Linked DNA regions of Drosophila melanogaster. Each later gene encodes a partner of the first gene's protein in a complex. Each region holds a gene or a part of one and is shown on either strand. Other genes may lie near its edges.

Region 1 (5,402 bases):
TTCGAGCATATACAGGAGAAACTGGGCAGCAAGCTGGTGAACTTTGGCCATCTGGAGCGTGAAGAGTACTTGAAGACCCTGCTGACTGGGGACATTGTGATATCAACTGCCGACCATGAGTTTTTTGGAGTAGCAATGCTGGAGGCCGCTTTCTGCGGCTGTTATCCCATTGCGCCCAACAAATTGGTCTACCCGGAAATCTACCCAAAGGAAAACCTCTACAACACCTCCAATGCGCTGACGAAGAAGCTCTACAACTTTTGTAGAATGCCGAGGGTCTTTCGCAAGCAGCGCGATCAATTCTTTGAGAACTTTAATTTCGATCGTTTTTCGGCGAAAGAACTAGTGCCAAAATATCTGGACATATTCAATAAACATATTGCAGACGAACAAAGTTAGAAATCGAAGGTTTGGCAAATGTCTATCAAAATATTCTCTGTAATATAATAGATATATTTTTGAATAAATATATCTCTCTTCTGTAACCTACAAAGCCAAAAAAAAACGATATATATATGTAAGTCCTTTGTGTTAAAACACGCTTCATTCACTTTAAGCATTTATTTATTTATGAAATATCCGAAAAAAATGGGATACAATTTAAGGTGGATGTAACCAATAATGCCATAAATGTAGCACAATAAATTCTATTTCGAAAACACAATTTGGATGAAAATTTGGGGATTCATATCTACAATATTATAAAGATGATGCGTATAGAATTTTGTTTGTAATACCTGAATATAGCCACATAGAATTTAGAGCGAACCAAAGCGGTCGAACGAATTCACCAAACACTTTTGTTTCTCGAAGTTCAGGGAGCGCGAAATACAGGACAGATTTTTGAGGCACGCATAAGCCTGCTCCTCCATAAACATTTGATCTCTGGACTTGCCACAAGCGACGCGTGCCCACTTGGGATCAATGACATGATCGTAGGTCAAGCCACCGCGGTACTTGTTAATTCTGCGATTATGGAATGGTCGATTCTCCTTTCTGCCCTCGTCGAACGGCAGGTCCTGTTCGCTGCACAGCGTGTCCTTCAAAATATCGCCCGGCGATGTGAGAAACTTGCTGGGCGTCTCGGTTTCGAAGGGTTGAATCCTCTTGGCGGAGCCAGCGTTGTATGGATGATTGGAGCTCCAAGTTGAGAGCAATGACTTCCTGGCACGTTTCATATGCGGCGGCGACTGAGCATTGTATTCGGTGCTTAGCGTTGAGTTCTGATCGGCGGCGCCCATCATTTTGGAATTGTTTGCGGTCAGCGAGTTGCTCAGATGCTCTTCATGGATGATTTCGGCCAGATCCTCCACCAGACTGGATGGGCTGGAGGGCTCGTATCGACGACCGTCCCTCTTCTTGCCGATGGCAGCAAGTGCCTTTTTGAAGGGCGTTGGTGTTCGTGGTCCAAGTTGACCTACAAATAACGATGATTGTGTGTATTCAAGATGCATTTGAAGCCAACAGTGGCTTGTACTTACTCTTGTGTGGAGTTTCTATCGACGATGTCTCCATTTCCTTTTTGATCTCCATTCCAACGCGATTATAGACCTTGGTTACCGGCGTGCTAGCCCGCAGATCCATATCTTCAAAGGTGGTCAGGCAAGGCGACTTGAGGAAGTGACTCGGTGAAAAGGGTAGCGACTTAATGGGCGATATGACGGGCGAACTCGGTGGTCGCGACCTGGCGTTTCCGGCGGCTTCTTCCTGGTTGAATGTCTCACTTGATGAACATCCTGCCTGATGGTGAGTTTCGGGAATGTGTTTGCGTGTACGCTTCAATATGATCGGTGTTTGGCGCGGCATGGTCAACTTAATGAGATGCTGCATACTGAGGTGTGCCAGATTGGATCCCTTTTGATGATCGTCTTGTGATTCCTGTGCCAGATCACCACCTTTCACGGCAGTAACCGAAGCGCCATCGGCGTTTTCGGATTTATTAACTGCCTCACCACCAGATTCCTTGTTATGTTGCATATTATTCATACACTTGCTGATGCCACCGGACTTGATCAGCGTGATGAGATGGGTTCGCGAACTCTTCAAATCGCTACCAGATGCATTAACCGATCTGCGTTCGACGTCATATTTGCGACGCATTGTTGAATTCCAATGGTTTTTAATGGCGTTATCGGTGCGTCCGGGCAGACGTTTGGCAATCTTTGCCCACTGGTTGCCCAGCTCCAAGTGAGCCTGGTAGATAATCTCGTCCTCCTTTTCGGTCCAGGCCGTTTTCTTGATATTCGGATTGAGGTGGTTGTGCCATCTCTCGCGGCACTGTTTCCCAATTCGTCCGTTCAGATATCGTGCAATTAGTGTCCATTTCTTGGGCCCGAAGTTGCGCACCAGCTTAATAACCATGTCGTCCTCGTCCCGCGTCCACGGGCCCTTGATTAGCTCCGGATTGAGGACTTTGGCCCAACGCTGCTGCACTTGCTGTTCCAGGCGATCCTTGAAATGCGGTCCGATAATCTCCCAGTTCTCACCGTGCGTCTCCACCAGCTGCTTGAGCAACACATCCTCGGACTTGGACCAGCGTTTGCCGAATCCATAGTTCGGATGCACTGCACCGATGCTAGTTTTACCGCTTTTGTTCTGTCCCTTTTGCCCCGTCGTCTTGGAGTCCTGTAGTTCGGGCGAGTCCAGTGGATAGCCCGAATCGGCATTGCTGTTCTGTTGTGAATCCTTGTCGCAAACTTGGGTATCCTCGTTCTCCGAGTACTCGGACTCCTCCGAATCCGAATTGCTGCCGTAATTCATCAGCTCCTCGCCGTTTTCAGTGCTCGCACTTGCCATCTTAAGATCAACTTTATAGGTATATATATATGAATAATGGCGCTCTTTGTATATATGTGTATGGGTTCTTTAACGCTGCTTGCGGGGCGAACAAAAGTGATAGATCTCCGGCTCTGACTTGTTCCCACGCTGGAAACGATGAACGTCGCGTTTGCAGTACAAGCACTTGGGCAAATGATCCAGAATATGCGGATGGTAGAATATGTAGTGCGAGCAAATGTCGCTGTACGAGTTACACTTGAATTGATTTCCGCACGTCAGGCAGTCGACCAGTTCACGTTGATGATCGCTGCGCAATATTGGGTGCGTCGCATCGCTCTCGGTCCGCCCAAAATCGAATAGTTTTGTTTGCTGCTCCTCGAGGCGATTTTGGTTTGGATTCGTGTTCTTTGTTACTTGAAGATTACAGATATTTGTGGACATACTCATTCAGGCAGCGAACTAAAAAGCAGATGCAAGTTTTACGATATTACGTTTATGCCAAACATTTTGATGCTCTATATTTAGCACTGAGGAAAACGGGGGAAAAAAATTACCACTCGCACATTTGTCTTCATCTAAAGTGGTGCTACCGTTATTTCAAATTCAAACTGCTGGGCTATGGGTACACACTTTGGTGTTTTTGATCAGTTCATTCACGTTTTCACACTGGAATTTTACGGCGTCGCATCTTATTATATTAAATGTAGTACTTAGTGTGACCGTTACACGAGCACTAGCGTTGTAATTCAAAACGATTAAAATCTATCGATAAATAATCACTACGGTAATCGGCACGTTTCCACTAGAAGTCAATATCTTGTACGATAGCTGGGATAGTATCGATATTTAGCTATCAACTTCTTGGAAATATTGTTAAAAAGTTGCCATCGGATAAAATAATTTTGTCAGAATTGCCAAATTTAGTTGTCAGTAGCATTTATAGGGACTGAAAAATATATTTATAAAACTATTAACTTCACCTATACATTTAAGATATTTCCATTGAACGCATCACTTCAACGTTAATTGCTATGTTTCTTTAGTTTTCAATTGAAATGCAGTTTTTTATTTTGTAAAATACTATAAAATTAAAAATTTTTCCAAGGAGGGGTTAAAGCTTAACATCTCCTGGATTTAAAACTTGACGTATATTAATATTAATACGTGAATCGTCCATATATCTCGAAAAAGGCTCCCAAAATTGAGGGTTGCCAACATCATGAAATAAATCTTTATCAATTGTACGCGTTTTAATATCTGCATTATCGACATCTTCAATTATCAGTGATAAAGTCGCGGAAGCCTGAGTTTTGATGATACGAGGAACTGCGTGATAGCATAGACGCGATTCTCCGGACATTATCATAACGTCCCCGGATTGAAGGTAGATAGCGGTTGGCTTTTCTTCTAAAGATCTTCCACCAATTAGAAATATTGCAGTCTGACCAAAACTGTAAGCATAAAATTAAAAAAAAATTAGCTGCACGGATATGTTTAATCCGTGATATATTACCTAAAAGAAAACAAAGGGGCCGATTTGTTTGGTTCAGAGTGATCTGTGTGACCCGATAACGTACTACCAACTGGATAGTAATTTACAATTGCGGCTTCTGGCTTAAAATCCGCGTATCCCAACGCTTGCGCAAACAATCCGCATAGACTGCTCAAATCTTCGGGAAACGGCGACTGCATCTCCTCATCATAGATCTTCGTGTCCCAGTTGTGATGATATCCAAATGTCGTCCAACGCATCGCGGATTTTATACGTTGGAACTCAACGCCATCGCTGCACAGATTAAGCTGTTTCCACCAGTCCGACCTGACGGATTCATCGAAGAGCCTTTCATTTAAATTGACTATATTTGGCGTTCGCGGAAAATCCCGCAGACATCGGGCGCTCCAATAACGCCGGCCTCGTTCCGAGAATGGATTCCGAATCACAATAATGCCGGGATGGTTAGTTAATGTATAGGTTCGCCAATCTTTTGGCGATTTAACGCCTGGCATTGTCTGTAGGCTTTCTACATTGCTGATACTTAATCGTTGAACAATATTCTGAGGGGAATGTAGAAATCATAATTCAATTGCAACGGATCGAGTACTTACATTATCACTCTTTTCTTGATCATTCCCCTTGACTACACAATCATCGATCTTAACAACTTCCGTTAAATCAGGACTGGTACTTTTGCACTTGTACTGCTTAAAAACTAGCTTGAACATGCTTCATAAACAATAAGTACAATATAAACAATAAGTTAATATAAACGATAGCAATAGTGTGACTGCGTTTGGAGAAATCTTAAATGCTTTTGAGCACGTTTAGAAATCAGACATGTGGTGGAAATACTATGGGATAGATATAAAAATTAAAAATGAATGCAATTCATAAGAGACATTGCCGAAAAAGCTCGAATGTCCTTTTCATGGAAAAAATTTTAAGCCTTTTTTCATGAGGTGATTCATTTGTGATTAATCTTATCGATATAAAGTTATCGATATATGAACGGGACTTTTAACTATTTTGAAATATTTTTGTTGTTTTGAGACCGATTTTTTCATTGTTTACGTTTTTGCAGTGATCGTTTTCATTATTTCGGTCGAAGATACGTCTTAAGGGTTGC
Region 2 (4,389 bases), on another chromosome or scaffold:
TGCAGCTTCTGCTGGGGATCCTGCGCCACTCCGTTCTCATGATCGAAACTGTAGTACTCGTATCCCTTAACGCAGGCCAATCGCTTGGCAAAGAATATGTTGGCATTCACCGACAGCATGGTGTTTATGTGCCACAAGCCATTAATCAGGGCCTCGGTCATTCGTTTGAAATCCTCCCCAGTGTTTGCCAGAGCTGGTTCGTATACCTTACGCATCACAATGTCCAGGCGGAGCTTTGACTCCGCCCAGTTCCTACCGCAGATGTTGTACTCATCCTTGATGCCCAGCAGATAGCCGAGAACGCGCCACATATGCGTAGTGGCCTCCAGGAAGTCCTGATCTTTCAGCTTTATGCGATGTGCGCCCATCGTTATGAAGCCAATGAAACCGAACTGCGTGAGCGCCAAATCCTTCTGGGTGATCTGTCCAGCTCCTTGGCGGGCGCACGCATGACTGGAGCGGCTGTGGGCCCGCCTCACGGCCGCAATGCTGGTCCAGAACCTGCTGCCACGGTCCGCGATGTTGTGGTTATACCAGGCTTGCGTGTGGAATATAGTACGCACATAGCGACGGTAGGCGGTGAACGCTGTCGAGGATTGGCGTGTGCACGACAGCACCCGGAGAATGGATGGAATAGCCAGCACGGCAATAAGACCAGCCAGCATTCCGGCGTTCATTACAAAGCGATACGTGCTAAAGTAGCTCTGACCACTGCAAGGAAAAGGAATAAAGAATCAATTAAGTAATTCGAATGCAGTTATATTATTTAAATTAAAATATACATATACATACATGTACATATACATATATATTGTTAAAAGTAAATGTATGTCGCCTTTTGTTATTAATATGTAAGCCCGTAGGTACAAAATTGGAATAATGAGCACAGATAAAGATAAGTATTATATGCTGCCTTTTCGCATTATTATTCACATAGCAAACTGCTACATAACTCCAAGCTTATAAATAACCCATGTGTATATGGATATTGTAATTATCACAATTATTTCTACTGTGGTTACTGGGCTAATATGCAATCAGTGAACAATTAGTCACGCAACTTACCGCCTGAATAGCTGCTCATCGTACCACGAAGGTAGCTCCAAATCAGCACCGCTGTCGCCCTCCTGACTGCCCTCCTTCATTAGGTGCTCCAAGTAGTCCTCGGGCTCCTGGTGATCCTGAAGCAGTTTTGAAGCCCCCGCTGCATTATGACCATCTTTGGAATGCGATGACGACTGCATTTTCCCACTGATCCCTGGAAAGTGACGTGCGATGTAGAAAACGAGCTTGAGGTCCAAATTCGGATTACACAAGTGAAAGAAAGAAAAGACAAACAAAATCGTCGGCGCGCCAAGAGAGAAAGTTTTTCATTCAACCCGCCAACAAGTCCACTGTGCACTTACACGTTTCACGCTTCGCGGGATGGGGGATCTCGGATGAGCTGCTGGTACAACCATCAACCTGCATGTCGGCCAAATTATTGCTTGTTAAACTATTTAGCAAACTCAATAGTTCAGCTCGTTACGTGCAAAAACATTTTGCATACACAATTGGAAAAAAAGCGTTGAGGATGAATCACGGCTGCCCACCGTCGTTGCGGTTGGGGAACTTAACTGCAACTGGCACGTTAGGCTCGTCAAATAAGAATGGAAAGCCGGTCATTGGCGCGTAAACTGGTTTCGAATCATTCGCACTGATAACGAATTAAGTAGTAAACTTTGTTTATGCACTTTAGTGTGCCCGCAACTGCAACCGTTAAAATATACCTTTTAAAACCCCAAATATATCGATGTAAACCACAAAATACTAAAATCATGACGCAGGAACGTAACAAGTATAAAAATACCGCGCAGTGTCATCTCCATAACTCTGTTATCGTTATCGTAATCGAATATGGCAGTCGTCTCGACAATCTTTAGCATTGCATCTCTATCATCGACGACGCGCTTGCAAAAAAACGAAGGAAATTAGCCAATTTCTATTTTGCCCTGACGTTACGCCGTTTAAAGTGTAAGTTCCCGGCCAGGATTCGACTCAATCCCTGCCACAACGACTTTCGGTCAAGTGTTCGTTGCGAGAGCTTTAACTACGTAGCGAACTTTCGTAGTTTTTCTGCACACGTTTTGCCGCTTCGGCTTTTGTTTTGGCGCCCGATTTTTTCGGCTGCCGACTTTTGACGCAGACTGAGAAATTGCGTGCCTAAAAGCCTCGAAATGGTGGATCGCAGCGATAATGGTAAGTCCGGTTAGAAGTTAATCGCCGCAATGTGTAACCATCGACCTTTAGCAGCGGAATCCTTCGACGACGCCGTCGAGGAGCGCGTGATCAATGAGGAGTATAAGATTTGGAAAAAGAACACGCCGTTCCTGTACGATCTGGTCATGACGCATGCCCTGGAATGGCCCTCGTTGACTGCCCAGTGGCTGCCGGACGTGACCAAGCAGGATGGCAAGGACTACTCGGTACATCGTCTTATACTGGGCACACACACATCTGACGAGCAGAACCATCTACTCATCGCCAGCGTTCAGTTGCCCAGCGAGGATGCCCAGTTCGATGGTTCGCACTACGATAACGAGAAGGGCGAGTTTGGAGGCTTTGGATCGGTGTGCGGCAAAATCGAAATCGAGATTAAGATCAACCACGAGGGCGAAGTGAACAGGGCCCGCTACATGCCCCAGAACGCCTGTGTAATCGCCACCAAGACGCCGTCGAGTGATGTCCTGGTCTTCGACTACACGAAGCATCCCAGCAAGCCGGAACCGTCTGGCGAGTGCCAGCCTGACCTGCGGCTGCGCGGTCATCAAAAGGAAGGCTACGGACTCTCTTGGAATCCCAACCTCAATGGTAAGTGCGTAGCTGTACCTAGTACTTATATATTAGCTCAGATAAGAGCTTGACACATCTAAAATGCATTACGTTTTAACCCTTAATGAACATCTTGATTGTCCTTACAGGCTATTTGCTGTCAGCCTCTGATGATCACACCATCTGCTTGTGGGACATCAATGCCACACCCAAGGAGCATAGGGTTATTGATGCCAAGAACATCTTCACCGGCCACACCGCCGTTGTTGAGGACGTGGCTTGGCATCTGCTACATGAGTCTCTGTTCGGATCGGTGGCTGACGACCAGAAGCTGATGATCTGGGACACGCGCAACAACAACACCTCGAAGCCCTCGCATACAGTGGACGCTCACACAGCGGAAGTCAATTGCTTGAGCTTTAATCCCTACTCGGAGTTCATTCTGGCCACGGGCTCCGCTGACAAGACTGTAGCTCTATGGGATCTGCGCAACCTCAAGCTAAAACTACATTCCTTCGAGTCGCACAAGGACGAGATCTTCCAAGTGCAGTGGTCGCCGCATAACGAGACTATTCTCGCCTCCTCCGGCACTGACCGCCGCCTACACGTCTGGGATTTGTCCAAAATCGGCGAGGAGCAGAGTACGGAGGATGCTGAGGACGGACCACCCGAGCTGCTCTTCATCCATGGCGGTCACACTGCCAAGATTAGCGATTTCTCGTGGAACCCCAATGAGCCATGGATCATTTGCTCCGTGTCCGAGGACAATATTATGCAGGTCTGGCAGATGGCCGAGAATGTTTACAACGACGAGGAGCCAGAGATTCCCGCCTCCGAGTTAGAAACCAATACCGCTTAAAGCATCTGTTCCGCCTCCTATAATACACACCAAACTACAACTGAATCCGATAATGTTTTGGCCGTGCCCCGTGTCCAGCTATCCAGCCTAAATGGCAATGGGTACTCATTTTAATTTATATATATTTACATATTTTTAAAAACAAAATTTAATTAAGCTCTCATTTGTCAGCAGATTGTACAATCTATGAATTTTTAATTAAAAATGATTAAAAAGTCAAGAAATGAGGTTAATTTTTTTGAAATTAAATACCAACTTAGATCTTCAAGCGTATTTTATTTAATTCTATTCAAAAAGAAGCACATTAAACCACATTGTATTTGTGTTTCTTGCCAAAGACTTCTATGTCCACACTAAGTCCTCTGACATCCTCTTTATGTCTTCTTGACGTGATTTTCCCACAAATGACGTCTCCTTCCTTCACAACCTGCGGGTTCTCGATGAAGAAAACCGTTTGCTTCCAATGGGTGGGCGTCGCAGATGGTGATGTGCTGAACATGACGGGGGAGGGTAGTTCAAACAATGTTTCAAAGTAACCGACAAAGGCGGATAATCGTCCCGGCTTCGTGACCTTTAAGCTAAACTGGTGAGTAAAGTTTGGATAGTTCATATCGACGGTCATTATGTCGAAGTTAGCTATCTGTTCGGGTTCCGTCAGCATGAACTCTGCATCCACCACCTGCATGAGTGGCTCCTCTATTGATTGCTTTCGCAGATCG
Region 3 (5,094 bases), on another chromosome or scaffold:
TTTAAGCGCAAAGAAGCCTGAAGAAATGGTTAGTATGTGTCGAAATATAACAAACAACAAGTCTTAAGATTCCTTAAGTTAAGCTTTATTCCATTTCTTCATTATTTTTTCATCTTTCGACTTTTCACTGTACACATTATCAGCCACAGAAGCATAAATAGAAATGCAGCGGGAGAGCAAATCTAGCACTCTTTTTTTTAGTTTTTGTGTTTACTTATTTGCGTTCATTGGCTTCTCTTCCTAACGGCACTTCGGGCCAAGGAGGTGCGAATGAAAAGGAGCTATAATCCGGTTTTATATCGCACTTACCTTTTTTAATTAGAATAAATCAAAACTTTGCTGCGGATTCCGATTCTCTTTATTTGCTATCAAAAGCAAAGCGGACTTTACAGTTACGCCTGTTAAAGTTGTTGTTTTTACTGCACGGTCTGCGGGCCAAATAAAAACAACAAATACTATATTTTTGCTGTTTACTTTACGCCGAACTTCGACGCTAATTGGAAAAAGAGATGCGGGAAGGAGAGAGAGCAATGAAAACTATAATTAAACGCCAGCAAAAAAAGGTCTTAAATATCCTGCGGGCACAGCAACAACAACAGAGAAAAATACAGGAGGAAAACCAAGAGAAAGAAGGGGAGAAGTTAACATAAAGTAACAGAAAGTTGCGAAGGAGAGGCGTTGGTCTCCGAGGGGGAAAGGCATAGGAAAAGACTCTTAAGGGAAAAAGAGAAAAGTCGGAAAGAGAAAAGCTGCGCAGGATATTTTAGCCGCCTATGAAAAATGTTAATTTTGTTTTAAATGTTCACTGCGGGTTTCATATGTTTTTTCTTGCATTATTGGCCACTTCGCTTTGTCACTTTACTTCGGTTTTAATTTTTCCACTTCTTCATTCGCCCAGTGAGTGTGTGCGTGCGAGGGAGATGGAGCGAGAGAGCGTGTTTGTGTTTCCACTGCAACTCCATTCTTCTTTCTCTTTTTTCACACACACACACAGGGCACACACGCACACTTGCACATGGGGGAGTTGGAAACTTACGCGTCGCCGTTTTATTAATTTTATTCAATTAACAATCGCCTCTAATTCAGCAACTCCAAAACACTACAAAATCTCGTTGTACTTGAGCACTATTGTTTGTCGATAAGAAGCCGCCGAAAAACGCCGACCGAGGAGGAAAATCACCCGCGCTGGAAAATCGCGTCCGAGTCGTTCAACGGTGAATTTTAGAGTGAGAAGGAAAATCGTGGGAAACTGCGGTGGATTTTAGAGCGAGATGGGTGATGCTCTGAAAGAGAGAGAGGGAATGCACCCTCTGGCGATGGGCCAAGTTCGATATTAGCATGGATTCCTATCGATTAATCGACTTAACATTATTTACCCCGGACTACAACCTATTACTTCTGTGTTTTTGTTTTTCTTAAATTATAATGAATCATTTATATTTGTATAGAAAATATTGAAATCAATTAGTTTATTCGAATGCTTAAACTTAAATGTTTTCCAACAACATCTCTAGTTCCAGCTTCAGACTCTGCAACGTGATCTTAGCCAATAAACTTTGCTTTATAAACTTATAATTGATCCTTGCTATTTTTCCAAAAAATATGTCGTGATATTTGATAATTTTTGATAAGTACATAGGTCTGATTGTTTATATATCTAATAAAAAATGACCACTCTGTATGAAGAGGGTAATCGTATTTCATATGTAAATTTATTAAATATATTTCTTTAATAAATAATTAAATATATTTGTTTGGTATTTTCGGTATTCATGCAGTTAGTATTAAAAGTATATTCTGCAGAGCCGGGAAGTGTGGATTTAAAAAAGTCCGCGGTCACACTGCCCATCTGCAGAGGTTTCCTCTTCGCGAATTTGTCTTGTGCGCTCCGATTTTGGCTATATAGTTGCGCCAAAGTGCCAAAAATCGGACCGGCACCAAAGTAAACCATCTTCTGAGCTCGCAAGTTCATCCGATCGACGAAGGATAGAAAAACATCGACTTTAAGGGGATTTAAGACCCGCCAACAGCACCGCAAAATGCAGTCTCACAGCAAAAAGCGCGTTTGTTACTACTACGACAGTAAGTTTTGAGCATTTAAATGGAAGTAAAAGGCCTACTAGATGGGTAATTTGTGTTTACAAAGTGCCAGCTAGGGTTACCATGTCGACTTTGTGTTTTTTCCGCATCCACTTAGCATCAGATGATAGCATTTTTGCAAATTTCAAGTTTTACGGCGACTGTACGAGCGCGTTCCGGTCCACAGCGCACTTTTTCCATACGACCGCAGTGCGTTTGTATGCGTTTGTGTGTGTATGTACCTGATGTCTATCTTCCTCTTCTGTGTGTTTTTGTTGCTTTTTCGTTCGGGGCGAAAGTGCTACTACTGCGGTCGTTCGGAAAAAGTGCTGCTCTCAGGCAGACGCCTCGCCGACAGTGGCCTTAAAATTTGTATTCCACATAGCGTGGCAAATAATTACTTTTTCAACGTGCTCATAATTGCGATTTTTGATCCATAGGCGACATTGGCAACTACTACTATGGCCAGGGTCATCCCATGAAGCCCCATCGCATACGCATGACCCACAACCTGCTGCTCAACTATGGGCTCTATCGAAAAATGGAAATATACGTGAGTTACTTTATTAATATGTGATGATAGATATATATATATATATGATAGATTTAAACGCGAATTTCTCTATTCTAGCGTCCCCATAAAGCCACTGCCGATGAGATGACCAAGTTCCACTCGGACGAGTACGTCCGGTTCTTGCGATCCATTCGGCCGGACAACATGTCGGAGTACAACAAGCAGATGCAGCGTTTCAATGTCGGCGAAGATTGTCCCGTCTTCGATGGACTATACGAGTTTTGCCAACTCTCCGCCGGAGGATCCGTAGCTGCGGCCGTAAAACTGAATAAGCAAGCCTCGGAGATCTGCATCAATTGGGGCGGTGGGCTGCATCACGCCAAAAAATCGGAAGCCTCGGGCTTCTGCTACGTCAACGACATTGTTCTGGGAATTCTGGAACTGCTTAAATACCATCAGCGTGTTCTCTACATAGATATAGACGTCCATCACGGCGATGGCGTGGAGGAGGCGTTCTATACCACCGATCGTGTGATGACTGTCAGCTTCCACAAGTACGGAGAGTATTTCCCGGGCACTGGCGATCTGCGAGACATTGGCGCCGGCAAGGGAAAGTACTATGCGGTGAATATACCCCTGCGTGATGGCATGGATGATGATGCGTACGAGAGCATATTTGTGCCCATTATCAGCAAGGTGATGGAAACATTCCAGCCGGCAGCCGTGGTGTTGCAGTGTGGCGCCGATTCGCTGACTGGCGATCGGTTAGGCTGCTTCAATCTCACCGTCAAGGGTCACGGCAAGTGCGTGGAGTTCGTGAAGAAATATAACCTGCCATTCCTGATGGTCGGCGGTGGTGGTTATACCATTCGTAATGTATCCCGCTGCTGGACCTATGAGACCTCCGTTGCACTGGCCGTGGAGATAGCCAACGAACTGCCCTACAACGATTACTTCGAGTACTTTGGGCCCGATTTTAAGCTGCACATTAGTCCCAGCAATATGACGAATCAGAATACATCCGAGTACCTGGAGAAGATCAAGAACCGTCTGTTCGAGAACCTGCGCATGCTGCCTCACGCTCCGGGCGTTCAAATCCAAGCGATTCCCGAGGATGCCATCAACGATGAGTCCGACGACGAGGACAAGGTCGACAAGGATGATCGCCTGCCGCAGAGCGACAAGGACAAGCGCATTGTGCCCGAGAACGAGTACTCCGATTCGGAGGATGAGGGCGAAGGCGGTCGCAGGGATAACCGTTCGTACAAGGGTCAGCGGAAGCGGCCGCGTCTCGACAAGGACACCAACAGCAACAAGGCATCCTCAGAGACGTCCAGCGAGATCAAGGACGAAAAGGAAAAGGGTGAGTGATTAACCATTAGTCATTTTAATTGGTTCTACTGACCACTTGTAATTTGTATTTAAACCCTACTAACTAAACCATTATGCTGTTTTCAGGCGACGGAGCTGATGGCGAGGAATCGACGGCGTCTAATACCAATAGCAACAACAACAGTAACAACAAGAGCGATAATGATGCCGGAGCGACAGCTAATGCCGGATCCGGTTCGGGATCAGGTTCCGGTGCCGGGGCCAAGGGCGCCAAGGAGAACAACATTTGACGTGGCGGCCGCAATTGGTTATAGAAGCCAATTAAGCGACCGCCGAAGTACAAGCCACCGGATTTCACCTAGTGTCGTCTCATTCCCGCGCCCCCCTTCACCAACACGCCCCGTAGCCATGTCCAGGGCTTTTTCTACACGCCCCTACACAAGGTCCCACTGCGATCGGCTCCTTTTTTTCAGTGGGAATATTCCCAAAGGGGGATAAATCAGTAATCAGTGGGCGGAAACACAATTTATTTTAAGATCGAAAGTGTATAGCTAAGCAAAAAGTGAATGCATACTTACAAGCGATCCAATGTGGCGAATAACGCAGAAACTAATTTAATCAAATAAAAATATTTATACATTTATTGATTTTAATTTTAATGGAAAATTAATTGAGCTGCTATCTTTTAAATATTTTCTTTTGGAAGTATTCGATTTCCCATTTTTAGCAAAATACTTACGTTTCCACATTTAGGTTTCTTAGTAACAAACTAAACGATAATTTGTAACAATTTATTTGTATTTTAACTAGGACTAGCTAACAATTTTTAAGATTTTAACTTTGAGTTTCTAAGTTGAGGAGATTGTGGCATTTGGGGGGGAGAAAAGGATCCACTGGGGGTTTTCCCGCCCACCAGTTGACAGTTTGTGACTAGTCGGCGAGGTTTTCCACGGATTGCAGTGGGCGGAGAACTGGAAACTGGCTGCGGTGCTAATCCAGCGATAATATCGAGTCGATGCTGGTGCGATTACTGCGCGGCTGCAGACGCGGTCCACCCAAGTAACTAATTGGATTCGCGAACTGGCGCTGCAGCAGTGAGTTTTCCAGGAAAAGCGTCGGCGGCGGGGGTGGGCGCGTCACTTTCGAGTGATGCTGTCGCATCGGCACCA
Region 4 (5,912 bases), on another chromosome or scaffold:
CAAAACAGTGTATGAAAAATATGTATAACAGGGCATATATATATATATATATATTAGCATTACTAACCACGTATATGTACTATAGTCCTTAAACGATTATCACATTTTTACTCAAACCTTGAAACTACATACATACACACATATGTACTCATGTCATGCCATGCCATGTTTATAGGGTGAGAACCGGGAGAAACCAGAACACAAACATACTTATATGCTATTTATACATACCAATGGTGACCAAGTAGAATATATAACTATACTTAAACAAAAAAAACTACATATATACAAAACTAAATACCTACTATCAATACAATCAACTAATATATGCATTACCTATACTGTAGTCATTCGACATGTGTTTATTTTATAGAGATATTGCTAACTAAGCTGATACCGATATTGTGAAAAACCAAACTAAATTGCGTTGAGTTTAATATACTCGCCCATCAATAAATTTGAAACAATGCAAATGCAAAATACAAATATGTAACTGAAGTTGTTGGTGAATAAACAAGCTACAAAACAACACAACGTCTCTTTTCATTTGTGTTCAATGGTCATTAAACTTTATTAGGTATCTAAATTATTTACATTCAATCCAAGGGAAAAGTTTACAACACAATTACAATGCTCGGCCAAAAATTAAAATAGCCTTATATCTGAAATTTGCTATGTATGATATATACATTTTGTGTTTAAATTATTTAAATAGGGTAAACACTTTACTTTAAGGTCAACTTTTAGAAAGCCAAAATTAGAATATGATTGAGAAAAGGTCAAGAACTCTTTGAACTTATAAACTAATTAATGTGTGACTATATTTGCATGCCTAAGAAGAAGGCTTGGACTCGTCTATCTGAGAGGTTTCTTGCTTTTCCTTGGCAAAAGCGATGATCTGTGTCAGACTTTCGCCCATTTCCTCCATAACCTCGCGCTCCATGTCCTCCACGGCCACATTCTGTTTCTCGTGCATCACAATCCGCGATATCATGCACATGATGGTCGCCTCAATGACATCGTCCGTAAAATATATATTTGCGCGATTCTCGTTCAATTGCTTGTTTTTAGCTTTGTCCTTTTTCTGACCCTCGACACCCATCAATCCGTCCAGAGAGTCCATGTCCACGTCCGGACGGTCTTCCATGTTTCGACACCCTAAATAATAAGTTGATTGATTCAGTTAGTTTGATCATAGATAAAACAGATTTATCAGTTCACTTACCAACGCATTTACATATGCTGGAGCAGGGAATCTTTGCCTCATAGCACTCACAATAGTTCTTGAGGCAGCCCGATCTTTTGCAGTTGCAACCTTTGTTATGCAGACGCATATCACCTGAATTGGGTGCCGTAATTTTGGGTCTGTTTAAAAAAAAAAAAAGTAGTTGTGATTAGCATCTTTAGAAACATAGGATAGACCTCATAAGCTTTTCCTTTCAAATAAACTTACTTAAAGGCGCTGGGGTTACGATCGAGGCAGCTGCGAATAGCACGCTCCCGCTCCACTTCGTAGTCCAGATTGTTAAAGCAATCCTTGCAGGTGCAGTCCTGACAAAACTCGCCGTTTGCAAAGCAATCGCAGTAAAGCTTTAGACACTGCGACTTGCTGCAGTTGCAGTGCTTTCGCCGCGAAGTCATGCCGCCCAATGGATCGACGGCTCCGGCTGCTGCCGCGGTTGCTGGAGGTTTTAGGACTTCAAAGAGCGGCTTGGCAGGTACATTGGCCTTCACCCCCGGAGGCAGTGTCGGCAACTTTGGCTCGACCTTGATCGGCGTCGATTGTTCGGTAGGCAGTTGCTGCTGTCTAATCCGTTGCTTGGCCTGCGCTTGAAGTTGCTGGTGCTTGGACTGCTGCTGGGGACCCATCTGCTTAAAGCGGTGCTGTTGCGGGGAAATGGGTGGCGGGCGTCGCGTCTTGTTTTCCACATATCCAGTGTATCCCCGTCGCATGGCACTCGTCGATGATTGGGGCACACCCGAGTTACAGATCATGTACTTGGCCCCATTGCTTCCAGTCGGTTGAACATAGTTGTAGATTTTCTTTGTGGAGTTGGAACTGGGACTTGTACTGCTAGACACCACACGCTGTACATTCGCTGTCCGATTAATTAGTTTCTGAACTGGCTGGGAAGCTGCCTTCTGTGATCCTTGCTGCATGGTAATAACGTAACGCGGCTTTTTGGCCTCAGGACCCGCATCGCTGCTGTCGCTAGCTTCACTGCTGACCGAGGCCGATTGCTTTAGCTGCACATTGAGATCAGTAAGACGGTGTTTGCGTGGCAACTCCTGGCTGGCACTCGGCGTGGCGCTGCTGCTCGCCGCACTGGCTGGTTTTGAAGCGTTGGAGATGGCGCCCAGCGCACGCTTTAAAGATGGAAATTGAGTTAGAATGAAATAAATTTGTACCAACACAAGTACCAACCTTTGAGACCAACGTCTGCACGGAAGGCAGCGGCACAATGCTGCCACCCATTGATCGCATTACAATCTTGTTAGTGTTGCCCATGGCAAGGTTTGCCTTCGATGCGGCTGCAGGTGAAGCTGCTGCTGCGGATGTTGTAGTAGATGTGGCAGGAACACCAGTAGCAGCCGGTGGCCGCACCACAGTGATCTTCTGAGTTTGCACTGTTTTCGGGATTGAGGCTGTTGCACTTGTTCCGGCGGCACTCTTATTGTTGTTCAGGACACGTACATATTGTATTCCTCCCTTGCCAGGCAGCTGAATAGCGTGCAATCCGCTCGAGGTGGAAGGTGTCTGTCCGCCCGTCGTGTGGGTTGTCGAACTGGTGGCACTCGCATTCGGCGACAGCTTAATGATGTTCTTGTTGGATACAAGAATCTGTTTGCCGCCACTTTGAACCAACATCTTGCCCGGTGTTGCGGATGCACTGGCAACGGAGCCCGTCGCCGTTTTTACAGGAGTTTCTGTTCTCACCACTACCTGGCCAACGGGCTTGTTGAGCACCACATTTCCCGTGGAGGGAGATAGTTTGACAGAAGTGGCGGCAGAACCTCCTGGTGTGACTGTGGTCCCAGTTCCCTGTTTGGCGTTCACCAGCAGTGAGGGACCAGCCTGATTGATCTTGATAATTTTGCCATCGGCAGTGCGCACCACCTGAATTTTGTTGGGCTGTGCCAAAGATGGGGATGTGGTTGCCGTCGTGCTGGAAGTCGACGCCTTCGCAGTGCCTCCGGCCAGCGGTTGGATGCCCTTTAAGGTTATGGCTGAGCCGGGTACCGAGGTGCTTGCTTTGGCAGGAACAGCCGCCTTGACCAGACCCGTGCTTGCCATGGTCACGCCCTTAGAAAGCACTGCCTTCTGGATACCAGAAGGCGCCACGAGGCGTCTTATTCCACCGCTTGGTGACCCTGTCACCGCAGTGCTGCTTTGTGTTCCAGGAACAGACTTCTGGACAAAGATGACTTGGCCATCTTTCGTCCTAATCTGGGTCAAGTTGCCCAAAGTCTTGGTTATGCTGCCCGGTGTGGATTTGGTCGCTATGGTCGTGCTACCGATCTTTAGCGTACTGCTGGGTATTGGTTTCAATTTGTTTAGTATCTTTACGTCTGTAACTTGCGCCTTGGCCGGAGGAGTACCTCCGGCAGTCACCATCTTAATGGCGTGCGACTTCAAAACGGTTAGTCCGGACGAGTTTAACCTCTTGTCCTCCAGTATGTGGACCACGTTCTTCTTAAACTGCGGCGTGTTCAGGGAATCGTTGGCCGGATCGGCCAGATCTTCACCGCCGATATTGTCTTCCTCTGAGTCCAGAGCTTCGATTTCCATGTGCTGGGAACTCTTCTCCGACGTTGGCTCCAAAAAGTCTTCAAAACTCAGCTCCGGCAATGGTTCCGTGTCGTCTAGGGAATCTGCGGACAAAATAAGTTATTAATTACTTTGCAAACAAACGTTTACGGTGCTTGAATCTACCGGTCAAGTAGTCTACGCGGTAGGTACTCATTTTTGCCAATTTTCAAATCAATTTCAAAATGTTCTTTATCATCAGCTGCGTTCAAGGCGGTTGCAGCAGTGTTGTAAAATGTCGTAGTCAGGTTATTATCGGCCTTGTTTGATTTTATCGGCTCCATTTCGATACCACTCTATTTCGGATGCCGTTAACATAGAGCGATAAGCAATCGATGAGTGGCGCCTAAATTAAATATTGCCCTTTATCAATGATCAATGCTTACTTACATAACTTTATATAACAAATAGTCCTTTGAAATGCCGAAATGTCAGGCAACAACAGTAATACTTAAAAGCCGTACTATTTTAAATCAATTTTAAGATCCCTACTAATATTCCAAGTTTTAAAACTTCGTTGTCCATAGGTGTTTGTTTATATTTTACTCGATTGTGATTGGAGCGCCAACAACTTATACAATATGCATAAAAATCGCTTAAGAATATGATTTTAGTTAATGACTGACGGCGTTCCGGGGATCTACTTCTTAGCCGCCACCTTCTTCTCGCGCGCCTTCTTGCCCTCCGTCAACTCGGATCGCTGCGATTCAGTCAATGGGGGCAGAGTGCTGGTGACGACACCAGTGCCCAGGGTCAGGTTTCCGTCACGCAGCGTGAAGCGTTGTCCCTGCTCCAGGACCATTGGCCGGATGAGGCGCAGAATGAGCTTGGTGTCTTCGCCGGGCATGACCATCTCCTTATCGGGAATCTGCACCTGCACGGCACAGTCCCAGGTGCGGGAGAACATCTGCAGTTGGATGAAGGACATGAAGGGCTTTGTGCGACCGCCTTCATCCTTGGACAGGATGTACACCTGGGCCTCCAGCTGATCGAGTGCCTTCACACTGCCCGGCTTGCACATGACCATGCCGCGCTTGATGTCATCTCGCTTAACGCCGCGCACCAGAGCTCCCAGCTGATCACCGGCTTGCGCCTCCTCCAGAATCTGGTGGAACATCTCCACGCCCGTCACCGTCGACTTCAGCACCTTGTTATAGCCCACGAACTCGCACTCCATGCCCTTCTTGACCACTCCGCGCTCCAGGCGACCAGTGACGACGGTGCCGCGTCCGGGAATCGAATACACATTCTCAACAGGCAGCAGGAAGGGCTTGTCCAGCTCGCGCACAGGCGTGGGGATGAAGCTATCCACCTCCTGGAGCAGTTTCAGGATCGCCTCCTTGCCGATCTCGGGACTCTTGTCCTCGAGGGCGCACAGCGCCGAGCCCTTTACCACAGGGATCTTGTCACCATCATAGCCCATCTCGGTAAGCAGCTCTCGGATCTCCATCTCCACCAGGTCGACCATCTCCTCATCGGCGGCGTCCACCTTGTTGATGAACACCACGATGTGATCAATGCCGATCTGCTTGGCTAGCAGCATATGCTCGCGAGTTTGGGGCATGGCGCCATCGGTGGCGGCCACAACGAGAATGGCGCCATCCATCTGGGCTGTGCCGGTGATCATGTTCTTAATATAATCGGCATGTCCCGGACAATCTGTGTGGCCGTAGTGACGCGTCTCCGTCTGGTACTCCACGTGGGCTACATTGATGGTAATACCACGAGCCTTCTCCTCGGGCGCATTGTCGATTTCATTGTACTTCTTGCTCTCGGCCAGCTGCTTGTCGGCCAGGACCTTGGTAATGGCCGCCGTGAGCGTGGTCTTGCCGTGATCCACATGGCCAATGGTGCCCACATTGCAATGGGGCTTGGTTCGCTCGAACACCTTCTTCTCGTTGGCGTACTCGCGCAGGTACTGCTGCATGTTGCCGGTTCTGGGCGCAGCAAGTAGTCCGTTTCTCTGCCAATCCTTGCAGGCCGTGGAGGTGGCAGTGGCACCCGCCATACGCAGCATTCTGGCAGAGCTCATGGCGCGCCGGCTGCAGCGCAGGGCCAATGACATGGATGCGGTGGACCGGCAGACGGCGGCGGCAAATGCATG

What was found.
Region 2: Myb (region 1) and Caf1-55 share a complex: the UniProt entries of both Drosophila melanogaster proteins name them as parts of the DREAM complex.
Region 3: Myb (region 1) and HDAC1 share a complex: the UniProt entries of both Drosophila melanogaster proteins name them as parts of the DREAM complex.
Region 4: Myb (region 1) and mip120 share a complex: the UniProt entries of both Drosophila melanogaster proteins name them as parts of the DREAM complex.

What each region holds. Positions count from the first base shown.
Region 1 is NC_004354.4:15,854,309-15,859,710, forward strand, and holds Myb (Myb oncogene-like), read right to left. Parts: upstream 3,516-5,402; 5' UTR 3,369-3,515; exon of another isoform or gene 3,306-3,368; 5' UTR 3,220-3,305; coding exon of another isoform or gene 2,866-3,219; 5' UTR 2,797-2,865; coding exon 1,482-2,796; intron 1,418-1,481; coding exon 759-1,417; 3' UTR 524-758; downstream 1-523. Other genes in the region: CG15914 (uncharacterized protein), read left to right, coding at 1-399; CG46440 (uncharacterized protein), read right to left, coding at 2,866-3,219; AlkB, read right to left, coding at 3,890-4,229, 4,292-4,833, 4,885-5,001. UniProt on the Drosophila melanogaster protein: DNA-binding protein that specifically recognizes the sequence 5'-YAAC[GT]G-3'. Component of the DREAM complex, a multiprotein complex that can both act as a transcription activator or repressor depending on the context.
Region 2 is NT_033777.3:15,223,677-15,228,065, forward strand, and holds Caf1-55 (chromatin assembly factor 1, p55 subunit), read left to right. Parts: upstream 1-1,899; 5' UTR 1,900-2,216; coding exon 2,217-2,238; intron 2,239-2,289; coding exon 2,290-2,850; intron 2,851-2,960; coding exon 2,961-3,670; 3' UTR 3,671-3,888; downstream 3,889-4,389. Other genes in the region: CG31344 (uncharacterized protein), read right to left, coding at 1-711, 1,066-1,258, 1,407-1,470; Art3 (arginine methyltransferase 3), read right to left, coding at 3,975-4,389. UniProt on the Drosophila melanogaster protein: Core histone-binding subunit that may target chromatin assembly factors, chromatin remodeling factors and histone deacetylases to their histone substrates in a manner that is regulated by nucleosomal DNA.
Region 3 is NT_037436.4:4,624,901-4,629,994, forward strand, and holds HDAC1 (histone deacetylase 1), read left to right. Parts: upstream 1-1,833; 5' UTR 1,834-2,039; coding exon 2,040-2,082; intron 2,083-2,519; coding exon 2,520-2,632; intron 2,633-2,710; coding exon 2,711-3,956; intron 3,957-4,051; coding exon 4,052-4,215; 3' UTR 4,216-4,567; downstream 4,568-5,094. Other genes in the region: axo (axotactin), read right to left, coding at 4,916-5,094. UniProt on the Drosophila melanogaster protein: Catalyzes the deacetylation of lysine residues on the N-terminal part of the core histones (H2A, H2B, H3 and H4).
Region 4 is NT_033778.4:13,507,750-13,513,661, reverse strand, and holds mip120 (Myb-interacting protein 120), read right to left. Parts: upstream 4,045-5,912; 5' UTR 3,966-4,044; coding exon 3,935-3,965; intron 3,874-3,934; coding exon 2,426-3,873; intron 2,368-2,425; coding exon 1,454-2,367; intron 1,366-1,453; coding exon 1,226-1,365; intron 1,159-1,225; coding exon 833-1,158; 3' UTR 550-832; downstream 1-549. Other genes in the region: mEFTu1 (mitochondrial translation elongation factor Tu 1), read right to left, coding at 4,449-5,912. UniProt on the Drosophila melanogaster protein: Component of the DREAM complex, a multiprotein complex that can both act as a transcription activator or repressor depending on the context. In follicle cells, the complex plays a central role in the site-specific DNA replication at the chorion loci.